Sus scrofa: one gene and its partners. The protein of the gene in region 3 purifies or fractionates together with the protein of the main gene of each other region. This does not show direct contact. Links are inferred from orthologs where the notes say so. Each region holds a gene or a part of one and is shown on either strand. Other genes may lie near its edges.

What was found.
Region 1: the proteins of C12H17orf49 (region 3) and RBBP7 purify together in Homo sapiens (affinity purification with mass spectrometry; 3 studies listed by BioGRID). This does not show direct contact. The link is inferred for Sus scrofa from reciprocal best matches to the Homo sapiens genes BACC1 and RBBP7.
Region 2: the proteins of C12H17orf49 (region 3) and SMARCA5 purify together in Homo sapiens (affinity purification with mass spectrometry; 5 studies listed by BioGRID and IntAct, with this or other methods). This does not show direct contact. The link is inferred for Sus scrofa from reciprocal best matches to the Homo sapiens genes BACC1 and SMARCA5.
Region 4: the proteins of C12H17orf49 (region 3) and SMARCA1 purify together in Homo sapiens (affinity purification with mass spectrometry; 4 studies listed by BioGRID and IntAct, with this or other methods). This does not show direct contact. The link is inferred for Sus scrofa from reciprocal best matches to the Homo sapiens genes BACC1 and SMARCA1.
Region 5: the proteins of C12H17orf49 (region 3) and HMGXB4 purify together in Homo sapiens (affinity purification with mass spectrometry; 4 studies listed by BioGRID and IntAct, with this or other methods). This does not show direct contact. The link is inferred for Sus scrofa from reciprocal best matches to the Homo sapiens genes BACC1 and HMGXB4.

The regions. Positions count from the first base shown.
Region 1 is NC_010461.5:13,295,915-13,299,719, reverse strand, and holds part of RBBP7 (histone-binding protein RBBP7), read left to right. Parts: exon of another isoform or gene 1-186; coding exon 187-313; intron 314-425; coding exon 426-503; intron 504-1,070; coding exon 1,071-1,147; intron 1,148-2,438; coding exon 2,439-2,496; intron 2,497-3,805. UniProt on the Homo sapiens protein: Core histone-binding subunit that may target chromatin remodeling factors, histone acetyltransferases and histone deacetylases to their histone substrates in a manner that is regulated by nucleosomal DNA.
Region 2 is NC_010450.4:84,190,195-84,194,128, forward strand, and holds part of SMARCA5 (SWI/SNF-related matrix-associated actin-dependent regulator of chromatin subfamily A member 5), read right to left. Parts: intron 3,117-3,934; coding exon 2,968-3,116; intron 2,772-2,967; coding exon 2,652-2,771; intron 1,905-2,651; coding exon 1,794-1,904; intron 1,468-1,793; coding exon 1,354-1,467; intron 1,156-1,353; coding exon 1,033-1,155; intron 170-1,032; coding exon 37-169; intron 1-36. UniProt on the Homo sapiens protein: ATPase that possesses intrinsic ATP-dependent nucleosome-remodeling activity.
Region 3 is NC_010454.4:52,417,526-52,421,950, reverse strand, and holds C12H17orf49 (chromatin complexes subunit BAP18), read right to left. Parts: upstream 2,963-4,425; 5' UTR 2,749-2,962; coding exon 2,728-2,748; intron 2,524-2,727; coding exon 2,429-2,523; intron 1,821-2,428; coding exon 1,719-1,820; exon of another isoform or gene 1,055-1,718; coding exon 864-1,054; intron 642-863; coding exon 537-641; intron 416-536; exon of another isoform or gene 281-415; coding exon 216-280; 3' UTR 13-215; downstream 1-12. UniProt on the Homo sapiens protein: Component of chromatin complexes such as the MLL1/MLL and NURF complexes.
Region 4 is NC_010461.5:106,112,858-106,117,372, forward strand, and holds the start of SMARCA1 (probable global transcription activator SNF2L1), read right to left. Parts: upstream 3,070-4,515; 5' UTR 2,864-3,069; coding exon 2,681-2,863; intron 1-2,680.
Region 5 is NW_018084968.1:1,835,403-1,839,336, reverse strand, and holds part of HMGXB4 (HMG domain-containing protein 4), read right to left. Parts: intron 2,437-3,934; coding exon 2,355-2,436; intron 1,475-2,354; coding exon 1,410-1,474; intron 1-1,409. UniProt on the Homo sapiens protein: Negatively regulates Wnt/beta-catenin signaling during development.

The DNA of each region.
Region 1 (3,805 bases), on a different chromosome or scaffold from region 3:
CGGGGTTTGTTTGCTGTAGGTTTAGAGCCTACCCCTTGGGTTGGACTCTGCGTGCTTGGGGTCTCTGAAGAGGCGAGTGTGCGGAGAGCAGTGGTGTAGACGCTGCTGACGGGGGCGCGGGAGAGAGGCGGGGCGGGGTGGAGTGGCCTGCTTGTGTCCTGTGTGCCTTGTACCCCTGTGTTGTAGATGGGACACCAGGTCCAATACCACCTCCAAGCCGAGCCACCTGGTGGATGCACACACCGCCGAGGTCAATTGCCTGTCGTTCAATCCCTACAGCGAGTTCATTCTCGCCACTGGCTCTGCGGATAAGGTTTCTCAATTTTTGCATACTTGGTATTTTATGAACGCCCTTGTCTTGTCCTGTAACACCTGAACTTTCTTACGTAACGTGAAGAAACGAATTCCTTTTTATTGTTCTTCAGACTGTAGCTTTATGGGACCTGCGTAATTTAAAATTGAAACTCCATACCTTCGAATCTCATAAAGATGAAATTTTCCAGGTAAGTGACAGTTTTCTGGTGTTTGTGTCAGATTTTCATAACTTTTTGGTAGAGGGAAATTAAAAAAGATTTCTCCTTTTATACGGTCAGCATAGAACACGGTGTTTTATTTTTTAAGCTCCTCTTCCACTATATAAATGGGAAATAATGTGGAGGTTTTTTAGAAACTATTAGTTCAGAGGTAGAAGAAAAATCTTGCAAAACAGGATCCATTGAAAAAATGAAATCCAAGAATTCTTCCTTGAAGGTATGTCAGCATAGTGGGTTCTCTAGTGAAAAAATACCTTGTATATGGTTGAAAATTGAGATTTTCACTTCATTGAAAGATTTTGAAGCTTCTGGGGTGGTTTTGGGGCCGAATAAGTGTGTTGGACCCTTAGCTGAGTTTCCCTGTGTTTTGGAGAGATGGGCCACTTTGAGTGCCTGAAAGGATAGGACAAGGAGGGTGAGGGCCTGTAGGCCAAGGCGAGGCTACCGTGCACGAAATGGGAACATACCCAGGATTAGAACAAAATCCACCAACTTTGGAATGGATGAGTCTTTACATTTGCAAATGTAAACTTGCAGGTCCACTGGTCTCCACATAATGAAACTATTCTGGCTTCAAGTGGTACTGATCGCCGTCTGAACGTGTGGGATTTAAGGTAACTCAGAATCTCGTGACAAGAAATTGCATAAATATGCTAATCTGGCAGGTTATGTAATAATTCATAAACTAGCAGAGCAATTTGCTAACCCCATTAATAAGTCTAAAAGTAATTTTAAGTGCCTTCCTGAAGAGTCTTTGTTCCATAAAATAGAAGCGAATCAGCATTGGTCTGTAAAATAAATGTATGCCAACGTGAGTTTTGTGTCTCTGTGCCTACTCAGGCCTGACGTTGGGGTACGGGGTGGCGGGGGGTGTGACATCCGTATGTTGGGTTTCACAACCCGCTTGCTGTGGAAAGAAAGCGTAAAGGCGTCGGCGCCTCCTGTTTCATTGGATCTCACGTCCACCTGCAGCACTGGTCTCCGTTTTTCTCCCGTTTGCTGTTCTGTGCTTTCGTTGACTGTTTTCTCAGGGATGAACCCGGGCTGTGGGTTGTGTAAGTGCTGAGGATGAACTGGGACGCCAGCACAGCCCATGCTGCCAGAGAGGTCATGTTCTTTTGGGGACTCACCGTGGTCCCAACTCTCAATTCCCTGACTACAGAGTTGCTATTCTAAGAATTTCAGACGCCTTTGGGGTTTTTTTAGCCTTTAGAGCCATAGATGATGTTGCACAGTTCCGTACATTCCCCCAAGATGTTCTTATCTCAAGTTCACATCATGAAAATGCCGAAAGTAACTTCATTCCTACCTGTGTTGCTTTGACTTTGCTTTGACATGGACTAAGTTTTTAGTCCAGATTGCCTTCATTATCGAGACAGGAGGCCCCCTCTTCAGTGTACGGAACAGAGACACTGAGGAGAAAATGTTTGTATGTAAAAATTCTAAACAGCCAATGTTCCATGTTCTTATGGCCATGATAGATGCTGGGAAATGTAGAGAATCTTTAAAACAAGCATTTCAGTATATTCTTTTTCATTTGAAAACAATTTTAGTAGTAAAATTAGAAACCTAAAACAAGGAGTTCCCATTGCGGCTCAGTGCTAATGAACCCACCTCATATCCATGAGGATGTAGGTTCGATCCCTGGCCTCGCTCAGTGGGTTAAGGATCCGGTGTTGCTATGAGCTGTGGTGGAGGTCGCAGAAGTGGCTCAGATCCCGTGTTGCAGGCCAGTGGCTACAGCTCCAGTTCAACTCCCAGTCTGGGAACCTCCACATGCTGTGGGTGCGGCCCTAAAAAGCAAAAATAAAGAAAGAATAAGATGTGATGTCTGGGCTGATGCTGGCTTTGCAAATACTCCTGCTATAAGAACTTCAGTAACGAAGGCATGTTCTTTCTTAATAGCAAAATTGGAGAAGAACAGTCGGCAGAAGACGCAGAAGATGGGCCTCCAGAACTCCTGGTGTGTACTGGCTTTCCTCATACAAGATGAAATGTCATGTGGACATTGGCCTGTTTATCATTGTTTCGCATCTCTGGAAAATGAGTCAAAAACCTCAAATTTCACCTCTTAAAGATGATTTCAAATTGGAAGCGCTAGAGGTTATCGTGATAGGGTTTTGGCGTTTATTAAAAATAGTAAATAGAGCCCAGTGGATTTTTACCAATATTTCAGTGAGAAGAATTTAGGCTCCTGGCAAATAGTGTATAGTAATTTCTCCCTGGTTCTCAGTAATAATGTTTCTGAGGGTTTAGTGGGGCGGGGCTTTGATGCTGTTAGCAGGACTTAACACTTTCTCACAGTGTGAAAAAACGGTATGACCTGACTTGTAAGTTCCTTGCTCAGAAAAATGAATGCTTCCCCGATCTTTCACCTGTTCCTAATTAAATTATTTTGGCATCTCCTCAGCCCTTTGAAGGTTTACGAGGTGGTATCTGTCCTGTCCTGTCCTTCTGTCTCAGTCCTTCGTTGTACACTTGAAGTCCCTTTTCTGGGAAGCGTTGCCAGTCGTTTGGCAGAATCGCTTGTTCCTCTGTTCCGCGTACTTAGCTCTTAGACCAGTACGAATTCGCTTTGTACACTTGGGCTTTGCCCACCACTTGTAAAGAAGGCTGTCGAGGGTGAGCCCTGCTCGCAGAAGAGGCTTGCTAAAGCCGGCGCACTGTGCCCATCGGGGAGCCTCTGCTCCTGTCCGCTGTTCCCATGCCCTGCAGCACTGGATTGTGGCAAAGACACACCAGCGTATTTCGTGTTAACATAGTGCTGCAGTTTTTTTTTACTTTAGTAATACCTTTATTGATGAATATTTGGCAGGACATACAACGAACTGTTTTTAGAGTAAACACTGCCGTGGTTTTTAGTAGTTCATAGAGTTGGACAGCCATCACAAGTCTGTTTTAGAACATTTTTGTCCCCTTGTAAAGAAAGTGTGCCCTTTACCTCTTGGCCCCCAGGCTTCTCCTTTCACCAGCCCCTGGCCACCTCTGATCTACTTTCTGTCTCTAGATGTACCTGTTCTAGACATTTCATATGAAAGGAATCATATGTGGTCTTTGTGACTCGTTCTTGCATTTAGCATAATGTTAAGGTTTGCAGCTATTTTTTGATGCTGCAGGGAGACGGTAGTGTGTTATGCCTCTGTAACAATTTCATGGTCTCTGAGGACATCTAGGATTTTCCTTTTTTTGAAAGTGGGACTCTGGGAGTTCCCATCGTGGCTCAGTGGTTAATGAACCCGACTGGTATCCATGAGGATGCGGGTTCAATTCCT
Region 2 (3,934 bases), on a different chromosome or scaffold from region 3:
AACATTCTTATACCTATTAAAATAATAGGGAATTACCTGAATATTCAATGACTTCTTCTGGAGTTTTTCCTTCTACTTCTCTTGCTATATTTTCAATATCATCGCGACCCCACTTCTCATTAGCTTTAATAAACTGGTTAAAATCTCTCTTATTCCAATTGGTAAATCCCTTCAAAGCAATAGAAACAAAACATATAATCACAGCACACTGAACTTGGGAATAAAACCTATTCAACTTTAGCAATACTGCTAATAAGTATTACAGAGAATTTTCAATTACTCCCAGTTTTTTAAAGTTCTTTTACAGTGTTGACTTTTCATATACACAAATGTACACTTTTAGCAATACATCATATATTGCTTATATAGCCAAGCAATTAAATCTGAGTGGAAGAGAAAAGAATCTACATGAAAAGGTAACATTTTCATTGAGCTCTGAAGGAAAAGAAATTTGCCAGGAGGAGTGAACATAGATTAAAGGGCAAAGATATAATCCAAGTGGGAAAACAGAAAGAAAGTAAGACTTTATGGGTAGGTTAAGGCCAGATTCTAAAAAGCCTTGATTGAACTCTCAAGGATGTTAAAATAAGTACCAAGAAAAGACTTATAATTGAGAATAAGTTACTAGTAATGTATAAGCTTCACGGGAAAGGAGTTCCCTTGTGGTGTAGCAAGTTAAGGATCTGGCATTGTCACTGCTATGGCTTGGGTTCAATCCCTGGCCTGGAAACTTCCACATGCCATGGGGGTGGCCAAAAAAAAAAAAAAAAAAAAAGATTCCCAGAAAAGGGAAGATGGGAATGCTGGGAGAAAAGTGATCAAAAGGATACCCATTCTGCCAAGGATGGTGCAAATGTATAATCTCAACTATCTCAACAACTAATGACAATGGAACATATACCCATGCTTTATCATCTCCAAGTATTCCATTTTTGAAAGTAAAAACTCATACTTCCTTGTATATCCCAAAACAACCTAACACAGTACCTTACAAAAAAAGTCACTAAATTTTGTGTTGACTAGAGGCTATACCTGTGTTAGAAGTTTCTCTTTTTCCTCTAACTCTTCATCGTTAAGGGGTTCAGCCTCATCAATTTTGAGCTGTTCTTCTTTTTGCGCCTGTGCTGCATTTGGTAGGTCAGGATTTCGAGGCACCTAAAGAACAAGTATTTCTCTGTGTTATCTATCAATCAATATATTTTAGGAAGCATGTGATGAACCAAACTATCAACCAGCTACATGACATTTCATGAGTTTTAATGAAACCATGAAAGAAAACAAACTGATATCCTACATTTATTTCAGTTAAAAACAAACTAGATTTAGTTATGAACAAAGTGCTACTTTTATTACCTTGTACCCAATTGTTTTTCTGTAATATAGAATTTCTTTTTCTAATAATTCAAATAGACGTGGAGGAAAGAACTGGAAATCCTGAACATTGGGTTGTTTTGGAGGTCGAGGAGCCTAAAGGGAAAAAAAAATTATATTGTCCGTAAAAACCAAACTACTTTGCTTTAAATCTATCTATCATCTTTCCTTCATTCTATCAACCATGACAGTCAATTCTGCAAGCAATTGAATAAATTTTCCACTAAAATTGAACAAACATTAATCAAATTTTAAATGCACACATTCAAAATTAATTTTTGGAAAACTTAACAAAAGTTGAAGGAAGTATTGTAAGAAATCACACAAAATCTAATTCTTAGTCTGATTTTATCACAAGAATATAGGAAGAAAAATAATTTATATTTCCAATATTTTTAGATAAGTGTGCTCTGTCAACTCACTTTGGGTGCTTTAGGTTCACTGACGCGAAGAGCTTCCCTGAAATAGGCATCAACAGCATAGTTGGCTTTTCTTTCTCGTTTAGGTGGTTCAATCCACTCTGTGAATGCAATCTGGCACATGGGAAACAATTCAAATCACCAACTTTATTATACAGTCGCAAATCTTACATGAATGCAACTCCTGTGTGCAATACAACAACTGTTATTTACAACTGCGAAGATACTCATGAAATCCTATGTGCTCTATGAGGCTAGAGACTATGTTATTAACACATAAGATGCTGTCTAGTGAATAAGCAAGACATTCTCTAAATATTTGACCAAATTAATGACAACGGAATGAAAAAAAAATATTATAAAAGGTATGCTACAACCCAAATTAGGAACGAAACGTAGATATATATTTAGCCTAGAAAAAAACCCTAAAGAATAAATACATCAAAATGTTAAAAGAGAAAGCATCAGAATTTTTTTTCTAATTTTCCTTTATAATAGCAAGTATTACTTATGAAATTAGGAAGTTCTTCCCTTTAATTATTATCAGCCAATTCTGCTGGTTTTTTTTAAAAAAGAAAATCTAGTAAAGTTGCAAAAAAATTTTTTGGCAATAGTTTTAATGTTTGAATGTTTAATGTTTAAATATTATAACCACCCCACACAATATATTTCACTTTAACAGAATACATAAACTTTAAAGCATTCAAGAGTTTACCACATGAAAACCTGGCATTAAATTTAACACAAAAATGAAAATAATTTAGACATGAGTAAACAGAAATGACTGCTGTTCATGACAAGCATCATACTTAACACTTTAAATTCCAACTTTCAAGTAACCATAACCTCGTCCTAAATTACCTTTTGTTTTTCTCTATAATCTTCTCCTTCAAAGTTATAAACACTTGACTCTGTATCCATTGTAAAGTTTCTAAGTGAGCTTTCACCCATCTTGGAGAGCTTTTCATTCATCTCTGCAGTCTAGCAAACAAAAGAAATGTCATATTAGATTGAGAATTTAAAAAGCATAAGAACTGTAGTCCAAATGATTAGGCTTTACAGTATATAAAAACTTCCGTGGAAATAACATTATCTATGACCCATGTAACAGTTTCCTCAAACAGGTCTGGTTTGATATATGTTATGTATTAAAAACATAATGTAATCTGCATCTCACCTTCTTGGCACCTCTTTCCAAAATACCATCAATATCCTCATCAGTAATCTCACTTTCCTTTGAAGCAAATACATGTGTTGCCCCATGCCTTATCATTTGAAGCATTTCATCTTTCCCGATTTTGTTAAGATTCTGATCCACAAGTCTTCCTGAAAAAAAATTTTGTTGTCTAATGTTAATCAAACAAATCTTAGTTTAGTGGAAACTTGAATTTTTTATTGAATTTTTTAAATGTCAGCTATAATACCATGCAATTTACTCCCAAACATCAATCATTTGTTTATTCACATCTGATAATTTTCACTTTTATATAAAATGCCAGATTCTTTTTTTTGGCTGCCCCATGGAATATGGAAGTTCCCGAGCAAGGAATCATATCCAAGCCACAGTTGTGATGCCACAGTGACAGCAATGCTGGATCGTTAACCCCTCTGCCGGCCAGGGATCAAACCTCTGTCCCAGAGCTCCAAAAACACTGCTGATCCTATTGCACCAACTCCAAAATGCCAAATTCTAAGTCATAAGTTTTGAAATATTTCTAAAGCATACATATTATATAATAAGGCCTATTGAATACTGTATCTCAATAAAATATACCCTTTTGTGTGGGGAGAATAAGAGATATTTGGGATATTTGAAAACCAAAGTTATTATCAATTTTTTTAAGTATCAACAGATGAAAGCATTATAAATACAAGAAGTTTCTGATATGCAGAAAACTGGTCAGTATTATCACTAATACTCCCAAATCAGCCTTTTCTACTTAGAAAAGTAAAGCACAAAAACCTTCTTATTGTCAAACTTCAATAACCATTCACACATCACTTATGATTGCAATTTTCCTACTTCAACCAACTTGTAATGAGTGGATAAGCTACAAGTGTATATCTCATATTTTTAACTATGTCCCTTAGTTCAAGAAACAGTTAACACAGAGATATAAAACTAAGACTTGCTGTTAGACTAA
Region 3 (4,425 bases):
AAGGCACCAAGCTGAGAGGGAGATCTTTATTGTTTTCTGTATAAAAATGTCCATCAGACGGGGGATCCGAGGGGTCGGGGCCGGATGCTCATACAGGAACAGCAAGCTGGGCCGCCCCGGCGGCCTTTCTGCCCTCTCTCAGGCAGGCCTTGCTCAGAGTCCCAGGCGGTCCACAGGTCCAGGGTGAACAGTGACAGGGGTCAGAGGTGGCAGGCTCAGCAAGAGAGCAGAGGAGGATCAGCAGAGGTCAGAAGAAGGCCAGAATCCAGGGTCAGGCTGTCTGGAACAGGAAGTGAAACGGGCCGAGATGGAGCGAGCCCCAAGGTGGCCTCCGAGATGACCCCGACCTCCCGGAGCAGCGGGCACCTGACAGACCCTGCGTGCACAGGAGGGCACCTTCTCTCCCAAAGCCCAGGTAGGTGGGAGGGGGCTCCTGCCGAGGTCCGCCCCCCACCATCGGCATCAGCACAGGGGGGCGCGGGGGTGTGGGGGCGGGGGCGCCCCTTCAGCTGCTGTGGGAGGAGGCAGACTCCTACCCTGGTCGAAGTTGAGTTTCTTGGCCGGAGGAGTCTCTCCCAGCCCTTCAATGTCCACCAGGTCACTGTTGGCGTCGGAGTCGTTCAGAGCACTGAGTGTCACATCTGGGAGGGGGGCACAAGCTAGGTTCTGGGTCCCCTGACGTCCCCCCCACCTCCACTTCCCAAAGTTCCAAGCCCGCCCTCCGTCCCTCCCCTGCTCCAGCCCCTCTCTGGGAGCCTTCACTGGGAGAAGAAGAGAGACGTGCCCTTTGACCCAAGCCCAGTTCTCTCACTGAACCTCCTGTGGGCCCTTTAATCCCTAGGCAGCAGCTCCACAGCCCTCACCAGCCTTCTGTTTCTTTAGGGGGGGACCCCCGGCCTCGGGGGCACTGGAGCTGCTTGGTGGAGGGGCAGCCGGAGGAGGCGACAAGACGCCAGATGCCACCTTCTTGGGCCCTTTCTTGGGCGAATCAGCCGGAAGGGGGATGCCGGAGTCTTCGTATACCTTGCGCTTCACCGTGGCCTTTATCTGAGCCCTGAAGAGGAGAGAGAGCAAGTTGGGAAGGGGGGTCGTCAGACAGGCTGAGGGAAGAAGGGAGGGGAGGGCAGGGGCAGTGGGCCACTCTGAAGGGACACGGGGGCGCCCCGTCCTAAGAATGCAGGCCAGGGTCCCAGCGCTTTGGGCAGGCTCTGATCTTTCTGAAGCTGTGCAGCCACTTAGGGCCAATGGAGCGTGAAGAGCGGAGTCCCTCGGCTGAGTCGTGGGACAGGCCCAGCTCCTAATTCTCTTCTGGGAGGGATGACTGGATGTGTGGAAGCTACCAGGTGAGCCTGGGTGATCGACAGGTAGCCTGAGACTTATCCTGATCTGCTAGTTCAGAATCCTAATACCGCTGGAAACACCGCAGGAGCGTCTCGAAAGATCTGTACAAATAACCAGGGAACTCCTATCACCAGATTCGATTGCTCAGGCAACCTAAAATCCAATTCTTGTAAGGGCCTGACTGCCAGAGCATTTTAGTTAACTTCTGATCAATTGTAACAATTCTTTTACTCTTTCAGTCCTCGAGGGAATGCTAACAAAACTAGCAACCGAGTAGGAAAGATGTTGAGCTGGGCGTTCTGAGGAAGACGGAGCAACGGGCATGGAGGAAGAAAGCTGCCCACCCACCCTCTCTCTGCCAGCCAACCCTCCCTCACACTGTCCGTTCCTTGATGACACAGCTGATGTGATTAAGATCGTCCCCAAATCGCTTCACAGCAGCCCTCAGCATCTCTATCTCCGTCTCCGTCCACTTGGCACTGTCAGAAGGGGAGAGGGGAATTGCCAAAGTGGGAGGAGGAGGAGGGGTGTGGAGCCAGCCCACCGGCCATGCATTCCACAGCAACCAGCCTCCTCCCCTCAATGCCTGGGGCCCCTCCCACGGGTCCACAAAGACATCCTCCTTTAAAAAAAAAAAAAAAAAAAAGGTCCCGTGGGAACCCTGAGGACCCCCCAAGCACACAATATTGCAACAAGCGCCACCTTAGAAGAAACCCTCCCCCCCCAACGTGACACTGCTGCTGTAAACAGCATTCAAAAGTAGGAATCTTACAAACAGAACCCCTAAACACAGTCTGCAGCAGTTTGACAGAATGCCACATGATTGGGGTAGGTGGGGAGTGGTGGTGATCTACAGTCTGCTAGTTCGCAGCAGGGTAGAGCTGTGAAATGAGTCCGGATCGTGAGCCTCAGTCTGTGTTTCATTCATTCATTCATTCATGCAACAATCATTTATTAACACCTATTCTGCGCTGTGCCAGGCACAAAGGGAAACTAACATCTGTCCCGGCCCTAGAGAGTGTCCGTGTCTGTGACCGAGTCCCAGCGTCCGCTCTCAGCGTCCACGTCCCAGCCTGGGCTCACGTACCCCGCCGGGGATGAGTCGGCCACGGGATGCAGCTGCATGGTCAGCTCCCCGAGCTTCGTGAAGGCGGCGCCCGCCGCGGAGAAGATCTCTCCGACCTGGGGGCGGGGCAGCATTACGGGGGGCCGGCGCACACCCCCGCGCCGTCCCGCCCGGAGCCCCTAACCCCACCCCAGGCTGGACTCCCGCCCGCCACCCCACCCCCGCCCCCCGCCCCCGCCCCGGACGGAAGAGCCGGGAGCCAACTGAGAGCCCGCCCTCCCGTGGCCGCCAGGGAGCGCTGTCCGCGAGGGAGGTCGAACCTTTGTGGACGCTGACGTCATGGCCCCGCGCGCCTCCTCACGGAGACGCAGCCGCCGCCGCTAGCCCAGAGCCGGGACCACGGAGAGCGGGGAGACCGAACGGCTCCGGCCTCCGCGCAGGAAGTCCCGCCCCTTCCCGCAGCTGATTGGCTCCAGCTCGGCCGCTCTTCGCCTCACTAGCCACGGTTACTTAGGTCGCCTCCGCGCGCGCAGGGAAGGAAAGTGGAAGACACCGCCTCACTTCCGGCTCTGCTGCATTCCACTTCCGTCGAGGGGTCGGACTCCCTATTTGGAGGCAGATCTCCCGCCCCGGTGCCCGCCCCCCAGCCCAAGCATACACAGGAGGCTTCAGAGAGCAGTTTCTCTTTTATTGTGGAACCGGACATGGCAAGAGGGCCAGAGGGATAGGGGACGGCCAGCCCTAGCCTCCCTCCACTGGGGGCAGTCTCCCGAGGTTGGTGAACAAGGGATTCCATCTCTAGCCAGGGAAACCCAGTCCGCAGAGGGCTCCAGAATGGGCGGGGCGGGGCGGGGGCGGGGTTGACCGGGTGGTCTTTAAATAGAAGAGGGGGCTGGAGCGGGGAAACGCAGTGGTGCTCTAGCGCACCATATATTCCTTGCGCTTATTGAGCCGAACTTGGCAGAAAGAGAAGCCTCCGAGGAGAAGGTAAAGGCCCGCGGCGATGAAACAGTTGTAGCTGACTTGCTCGTAGAGCTTGTATATGTCCTGGGGGCCATTCCTAGGGGTGGGATTAGGTAGAGAAATGTCAGAAACATTAAGAGCAGCCAACATTTACTGAGCACTATGTGCCAGGTACCGTTCTAAAAGATTTTACGTGTGTTATCTTTTTCAATCTTCATAACCCTATGGGGTGAGTTCTAGTATAGTATCCACTTTGCAGAGGTGGACGGAGGCCCAGAAAAATAAAATGCCTAACTAAAGAAGCCGCCCCAAAGTGGTGGGTTTAGTATGGTCGCTGAGGTCTGACCCAAAACTGCTCCTGTGTGCCAAAGAGAGCAACTCTCCGCACCCAGTTCCCTGGCCTCCTGGCCCCAAGCATCCCACTTTCTGCAGTTTCCCCACCCATAATTCTGACCATTTCCGCTGCCGCCTCTCCACTTACTCAAAATCTTTCTCCGTGAAAGGAACGTCTTCAATGAGCACAGCAGAGTGGACATTGAAAAAGATTCCGAGCATTATCTGAAAAAAGGAAAAGGGTAGCTTGTTGAACCTCAGGTACCTGACGGGTCACCGCCTAAACTCCTCCCACTTTGAATGTTGCCACAACATCTGGGTTTGGGAATTACCAAAACGACCTGGGATTAGGGATGGTTGTTGCCGGATTTGGGCTCCAGTCACCCGGAATAGGGTGTGAGTGTGACATAAAGAAGACTTTGCTGGGGCAAGGGCAGGAAGAGTGAGGGACCCAGATTATCCTTCTCTCTGGAGGCGTCATTATCATGGGACAGCGCGGAGGAGGTCAAGGGGAATCGGCACTTCTCCATATTTCTTCCTCAAGTGGGGCGAGAAACAAGGCCCAGCTACCCCTCTCGGGACCAAGCGCTCCCTTTCCCAATGCCCTCCATTCAGCTCAAGGATCTCTCAAGAACCCAGCTCTTCTTCTTACCCTGAGGGGTCTCCAAATGTACCATCCCCGGCTCCCATTCCAAGCTCCAGCTCCCCTCGCCCCTTTCCCC
Region 4 (4,515 bases), on a different chromosome or scaffold from region 3:
GGAATAATTATTTCCCTCTCCTGGCTAGATGGCTTGTATTTTTACCATTGTTTTATTTTATTTTATTTTATTTTTTGTCTTTTAGGGCTGCACCAGCTGCATGTGGAGGTTCCCAGGCTAGAGGTCAAATCAGAGCTGTAGCCGCCAGCCTAAGCCACAGCCACAGCCACAGCAACGTGGGATCTGAGCCACGTCTGCGACCTACACCACAGCTCACTGAGTGAGGCCACGGACCGAACCAGCGTCCTCATGGATACTAGTGGGGTTCGTTAACCACTGAGCCACGACGGGAACTCCGTATTTTTACCATTGTTTTAAATGAAAGGTTTTGTTTCACTTATGTCCTTTATCATAAGCCAATTCTTTCTAATGAAAGTAGATGAAGTGTTTAAAAAGTGATAGTTAACAGCCTGACAATTGAGGGAGGAGACTGAACATTTTTGAAAAAAAATCAACGCAATATTGGAAGTGTCTGGAAGGTGTTTATTGGAGGGGAAACAACCTCCTAAATCTCAAATGCCTTTGTATGGGTGTCAGAGTACAATAACTGGGAGACACGAGGAAAAGGTTAATCTGTACATTTAGGACACCATTTAAGGAATCAAGGTAGTGTGCAGATATTTAGATCTGGAGTGGGGGGATGCACTGGGGGTTTGGGATGGAAATGCTATAAATTTGGTTGTAATGGTCATTGTACAACTATAAATGTAATTGAAGAATAAAAAATGCTATTAAAAATGATATTCATATTGGGGGAGAGACAAAATTACCTTATTTGAAGGAATAGAACAAATAAAAGCACTTAGGTAGATGTTGTGGTTCAATTCAGATTTTTAAGGAAAAATTCAAAATAAAAAAGACGTAGTGACTAAAGTAATAAGATTCAGATATCCAGAAAGTTCCTGCCAGGTGGCACCTCATTTCTCTATGCCGAGCCAACAAATGAGGTGCTACTAGTGCAATTTCTGATAAGGCCACAGAGTTCACGAATATATATGCATCAACTCAGTGATTATACACGTTTTTTATTGATTACCAGTCTCTTCACAATTCCAAAAATTCATATACCCTGGAAATTCGACAACATTTACTGCCATACAAAAGACGGCCAAGCACTTACATTCGCCCAGTCTAGGGAAGAAAAGGTATCCAGACACATTCCTGAATTTCCCAACATTGATTTATATCATCGATGCTTGGTATTTGGCCCAGCTTTAATCATCGATATTGTCTTACTGATCCAAGTACCACACAGATCTTAAAATGCGTATGTTTTCTATGGTTTTCACTTAGCGCTACAATTGTCTTTCTGTTTAGTCAACCTTGTAACAGTAAAATACGTCACTTTTAAGCAACTGCTGAATTTAAAATTACTCTAATTCACGGCCAAAGGTGTTAATTTCCCTCAAAAGCTTTTCATTTGGTCGTAGAGCATCATATAATGATTCAAACAAAGCCACTTGAGATCGCTAAAGCATAATTTTAATTACCTACCGTTTTTTTAATTGCGATATGTCTACTCGTAAACGGAAAAAAAATCCAGCCATAAACGATCCATTCCACAATTTTACTATACATCAAAATCCTTATGCCTCAACCTAATTTTTTATTCCAATATTTCAATAGCCTTTCATAGTTCTACTTGCACGTCTCAGTCCGTATGAAATACGCCTTATGGAGATAATACGTATTTTTTTGGATCTGGCTTTAATAGGTGTCACAGCGGTCCCCTTATGTACATTAGCAGCAATTCATCCTGGCGACGCTGGGTTTAAAAAAACAAAATTAAAAAAAAAAAAAAAACCTGCGTGTGTCCAGGAGCCAGCAGCGCCCACTAGGAAAAGGAGGCGGAAGCCTGGAAGGCTTGGGGCCGGATTGGGGGACCATTTGGGTGGCCCTGGAGTGAAACACTATACCGTCGGGGGCGGGGCAGGAGAGGGTGAGGGTGCACACGTTGGAAATTTTCCTAAGCCAGCGTCCAGGGTTCCTCAGTTTGGGATCTGGATTGGGGGGGGGCGGTGGTACGACGCTGAGAGCTCGTTTTCTCGGGGTGACACCCCCGCTTCAGCAGGCGGGGACCAAACGAACAAGGGATTTTTTTTCTCCCTGCCACCCCAAAGGCCGACATTGCCAATCAAAGAAACAAACGTCTCTCCTATCGTCCTCCTCCTCCCAACCACCGGCACCTGGAAATTCAAATTTTAAAAAATAAACCCCCAGTAAACCCCTTTTGCCTGAGTGTGGGATTGAAGGGCCCAGATTTCCCAGGCAGAGGCCGACGGGAAGGGGGGGGGAGAGGGAGCGAGCGAGAGGAGAGGGGGAGGCGGAGGCTTTTTCCTCCACGGCCCCATCCCCCACCTCGTTACCCCAGTTCCGGGAACGCCAAAGGGGCCGGGGGCTGTCGAGGGCTCCCCAGCCCCCAAGCCCCGAGATAACGGGCACCCGCCGCCCCGCGCCGCGCCCGCGCCCCAGCCCCGCCCCCGCCCTCCAGGCGGCGAGAAGCGAAGGGGGAGGGGAGCGAATGCTAGACTGTTCTGCCGCCCCCACCCCGCGCGCCCGCCGCCCCCAACCCTGCGGAGCTCCGCGGGTACCTGTCGGCGCCCAAAGGTCAGCGTTTGGGCCCCTCCGAGGGGCCCGGCGCAGGATTTGTCCACCGCACACACACCCCCTTCCTATTTACCTCCTTCTTCTTCTCGCCCTTCTCCGTGGCCACGGTGGCTTCGGTGGACGCGGTGGCCGCGGCGGCGGCTCCCTCCTCCTTGGAGATGGACGGCCCCGGCTGCTCGTCCTCTATGACCACGATCGTGGCGGTCGCATCAGAGGCTGCCACGGTGGCTGCCACTGCGGCGGTGTCCGGCTCCATGGCGTTGGAGCGGGAACGAAGAGGGGAACGAGCGAGGGGACGAGGGCTCCTGGGCGGCGGCAGTGGCTGCACTGGAAAGAGCTAGATGGAGCAGGGGTGGGGAATCACTCGCTTCCAACCCCTTCGCTCGGCCCCCCCTTCTTTAAATAACCCTCAACCCTGCCCCACTTCCGTCCACCCACCCTACGTCATGGCCTCCCCCCGTCACCCTCCCCCCTTCCTCCACCCCCCCTCAACGATCGCGAGACTCCCCCTCCCCACCCGGAGCCCAGGCCGTCCCCGCACGACCAACTGTTGCCTGAGCGTGGGGCGCGGACTGGGGTGGAGGCGGGAACCCACAGCCCGCGGCCCCCTAAAAAATCTCCTTCCCCACACGCCCCCAACAGTCAGCCCGAGCTCCCCTCGCAGATGTGTGCAGAAGGAATCCTCTTCCCCTTAAATCTGCTCTTTGTACCTCGGGGCGCTCTCCCCTTCTTGCACAAAGAACTTTTCCTCTGCTTATAACTGTACTGTAGAAGGTCTGTCTCACCATTTGCAAAGCCCAGATCCCCTCTGGGGACTGTCCTTTCCCAGATCCCCAAAGGGGGACTGGTGGTGCCCTTCCCACCTTTGTAAATTCTGCAGGAGAAGCATTCCTTGAATCTCTTGATTGCAGCTGCAAACATTCACTTACAAGGCAAAGTGTGACTCGGTTTTTACGTATATTCGCTCTATTTTCGGTTCTGAAACCTCTTGGATGGCCAATGTGCAGGAGCCCATCTTTTGCCTTCACCAATGAATTTTAAAAACTTCTGGGGGGCAAGGTCAATGTCCCCACAGAACCTGGGGCAACGCATGGTAGGTGCCCAACATCAGCAGTTGAACTGAATTATTGTGATTGTTTTGGTATTCTATTCCTACCCCGTTGTTTAGTAGTAATTCAACACCAGTAATATGCATAATCGTGGATATAAGAGCATTTCGTAAAGGGTATGCAAACGTCAGTTATTAAATATTATTGTTTCCATTTCTCCCCACCATTTATTTTGATCAATAACAGGAAGATTTACATCTCAGCCTTAAAATTTCAGTCATTGGGGACGAAAGGTAGCAAAACATACAGAAAACCAGTATACCGAACACCAATCACAAAACCTACAATTCTGAAAATGAAGCATCTATTTTCCAAAGTATGAAGAAAGCATGATTAATTTCCCTCAACACACCTTCCTAAGTTACCAATCTGAAATCAAGTGTGATTTCTGCAAATAGCAGGAAGGCACACATTTGTCCTCCAGATACATCCCTTTTTCCTGGGATACCCTAAATTTCTTTTTTGTTTTAAAGCTGTAATTCCTTAATATGCAAAAACCTTGTGACATTTTAGCTGTTATTGGCCATTTACACCTTAGTGTGAATGAGTGTGAGATCCTGTTCAGGGACTGGTTTTGAACAGGGAAAGATGCAAAGAGCAAGACACAGGTGATTGAAGGATTGTGCCACTGAGAGGAAAGGAGAGGCTGGTGTGGTGCTTAGCTTTGCCCTGATTTTACATCCATTATGTTCTCATTCACTTTAGATTTTGCCCCCGGTGTCCACGTTTCTCACCCTAGAGTACACATATGTACTCTCCAGCGGGTATGTGGAGTCTCAGTATTAAAAATAGTTCATAT
Region 5 (3,934 bases), on a different chromosome or scaffold from region 3:
TTTTAGACTAGAGGGGCACTGAACAGGCTTCAGACAGCAGCGGCACTAATATCTTAGTAGAGGGCCACCAACATCCCTCAGTGCTAATGGTCAGATGGCAGCACCGATTCTGAGGTCACTCCAAGTCGAAATGTAAAATCACAGAGGAAACAACTGGCTCAGCCTAATGTCCAGGGGTTTAAATATTTCTTCTAAATTAAAAAAATATATATATTTCTTCTGACCTGCTGGCTCGCAACACTGATAGCAGGATAAAAATGAAATGGAAAACAAAAACTTATTTGGGTAAAAATTATATGTTGTTTCACCCAGATGAACTGTACCTTAAAGCAAGACGGTAATTCTAATTCCTGCACCACCTTTACATCATCTTTTTTTTTTTTTTTGCCTTTTCTAGGGCCGCTCCCACGGCATATGGAGGTTCCCAGGCTAGGGGGCGAATCGGAGCTGTAACTGCCAGCCTACGCCTCAGCCACAGCAATGCAGGATCTGAGCTGCGTCTGTGGCCTACGCCACAGCTCACGGCAACGCCGGATCCTTAACCCACTGAGCAAGGCCAGGGATCGAACCCACAACCTCATGGTTCCTAGTCGGATTTGTTAACCACTGCACCACAACGGGAACTCCACCTTCATATCATCTTAAAGTGACTATGAATGATACAGATATGACTACTCATCACTGGCTTATTAGCTTTTTGATATGAAGGCGTATTAGTTGGTGATGGTTGAGGAGAATGATGATGGGGAACCTACTTACCCAGTAAACACTGTTCCATGCTTTATTATTTGCTGTGACTATGAAGTGGACCACTTTCTTCCGTTCTCACACTAGGACTGACCAGTAGGTGTTAGTAGTAGACTTTAGATTCTCTCTTCCTTTTTTTCTTTAAGGCCGCACCCCTGGCACATGGAAGTTCCCAGGCTACAGGTCGGATCAGAGCTGCAGCTGCCGGCCTACACCACAGCCACAGCAATGCCAGACCTGACACATGTGCAACCTACACTTTGGCTCACAGCAATGCTGGATATTTTAAGCCATTTAGCAAGGCCAGGGATTGAACCTGCATTCTCATGGATACTAGTTGGGTTCACTGCTGCTGAGTCACAATGGGAACTCCTAGATTCTCTTTTAACACAAATCATTGCTCAAATTAGATCATCCTGTGGCTAAATGGAAGGCTGTTGGGAAAAATTAGATGAAGTAAGGAGAGACAGTCTCTCTGCGACAGAATCCTCGCCTGAGTGAACCGGCACCAATCAGTTCGCTGCCCTCTGCTAGCTCATTTTCCACTGACTTGAAATTTTTTTCCTCCTACTTTCAGGGTTGTTTGGGATGGTCTATAGGAGAATTATATACTTTGAAAGGCATAAAGCAATGAAAACATGCCCATAATAAAGTGTACTTACCAGTTTGTCCTTTTCTGGCAACTGTTTCCACACCTCAGCCAGTTTTTTACTAAGTTCCCCAAAGTCTGCCATAAAAGAGTAAAAACAAACAAATAAACTCAATAAAGGTTTAACCATAAATACATAAAATGGAAGTCTGATAAGAGCAAAAACTGGGAAAAGGGTTTTGAAGATCAGATTTAAATAGCACAAGATTCTTTCAGAAAACTAAACCAAAGCCCATTAACTTTCCCTGATTCTTTTCTAGAACGAAGGGGCTGTTCTGGTGTCATGAGACAGGCTCAAATTCTCACACGTCTACTCTCTAAGGATGTATTCCTTAAGCATCTTTATGGTGTCTTTTAATTTGATCCCACAAAGCAGCGCTTATCGACTTAGGTTAAAGAAAACAAGTTACATAGAATTTGATAAAAGATGTTAGATTTTTACCAAGTTTCTGAGAGCGTGGAAAGAAAGTGGAATTTCCCTAGAGCAGCTCAGATGTGATCTTCCAGATGCGTAATGCTGTGTTTCCACGTGAACAGCGAGTGCATTCCTGCCTTACGTGGCGTGCCTCACCGCAACGCTGGTGACAGGGCCGGGAGGCTAGTTTCACACACTGGGTGAGTGAGACTCGTAGAGGTTACATGACGGGTCCAAGGTTACATGACGGGTCCAAGGTTCAGACCCATCTGAACAATATGTGAGCTCACTCTTAAACAAGGGCAGTTTAAGGATTCCTGTGGAATCTTGGAAGTAGAACACTGCATATTTATGTGCTGTGCTTTATGGCTGGGGTGAACGAAGACACAAATCTAAAATGACTTGCACAGCTGAGGAAAGAAATGAGTTTGGAGTTCTTTTCAAGCTTGGGAAGAAGTGTGCCTGCTGACCGACTGAATGAACTGCACTGCTTCGGAGACACAAAGGGGAAGTAAAAAAACGAAAGATGAGAAATGTTCTTACCTATGCCTGGATGGTCAGCCACAATGGTCACGCGGTACTCTTTACAGAACACCTGGTAGGCTGACATGTTCTTCTTTTTTGGCTAAGCACCACAGAAAAACACAACAGGACAGGACTTAATTAGAACACAAAGTTGAGTAACCCTGCCTCTGTGGGAACAAAACAGAAAAGGTACCTGCACTTTTTCATCAAGAGATCTAAACTACCAACTGGCTTTCCTAAACAGGATAACTGATTTTTAAGCTGTGTTACTTATGACTTAGAGATAAGTATCAATTTTACTTTTAGAATGTAAAAACCACATGCTAACTTATTCTTGGGTTTTTCAGGCTGTTGGAGGTACTTATTTGCAAAGCCCCTCATTCTTCCCACATACAATCCCATGGTACATATTTCTGTTAGAATTAAACACTAGGAAAATCTTTCTCTCTCTTAGGTTGTCTTTTTCTTTTCTTTTTTTTTTTGCCTTTTTAGGGCCGCACCCAAGGCATATGGAAGTTCCCAGGCTAGTGGTCAAATTGGAACTGTAGATGCTGGCCTACACAACCACAGTAACGTAGGATCTTAGCTGCATCTGTGACCTACACCACAGCTCGAGGCAGTGCCGGATCCTTAACCTACTGATCGAGGCCAGGGACTGGACTTGCATCCTCATGGGTATCAGTTGGGTTCGTTACCACTGAGCCACGATGGGAACTACAGGTTGTCTATTTTTTATCTTCTGTAAAAGAACCACATAAGTTCTCTTTACTTTGGGGCCAGAAAGTCCAGAGCCAAATTTATGTTCATACTGTTCCTCTGGTTTTTATTTCCAGTCTTATAATTTTCCTGATCCTGCTTTGACTGTCACTTGTAGTTTCTCATTACTTTATTATTCACATCCTTGTGGTCCAAGGTGAGAAGTAAATAAATAACTGAAGATGATTCACTGGTAGTTAATATAAGACAAACCTCTTTCACTTCAAGAAACTGCTTGAAGTATGTTATTCTTCACTGTATTCTGACAATTCCAAAAGCAAGGTATGATTTTTGAGAAACAAAAACCAAATATGCCTTTAAAGTCAGGTCAATGAGTGATATATAAACAAAAGATTATATGTTACTGTGCATTCCATTTTACAATTATCCATAGACTGAGGGAAAAAATTAAGTTTTCCTACCTGAAAAGGGGCATCACATGGCACCCGTCCAAACCTCTCATTTTGAGGATGAGAAAAAGGAAATTCAGAAAAATAGTGATTGCCTGGGTGCCACAGTTATGCCAGTTGTACACTAGAATGGCTACAATCCAGGAAGCCTGACTTCCAGGGCTACCGCAGTATAGGCCAAAGGAAAAAAAAATATGTTGCTTCCTTATAGAAAAAGTTACTATTTCAAACCTCATCTGTAAGTATCAAAATAGGATGGTCGGCCCTTCATCTCCTCCTCTGCTTTTCTGGCCCTGCAGTTATTACAGTGACATAACCATTTGGTGCTTTAAAAGCTACTGGGAACTTCTGTTTGCCTCCTGGGTCATACTTTATGGCCCAAACAAACCAACAAACAACGTCATCCTGTCTCGTGACATCAGAGTTGCTTTT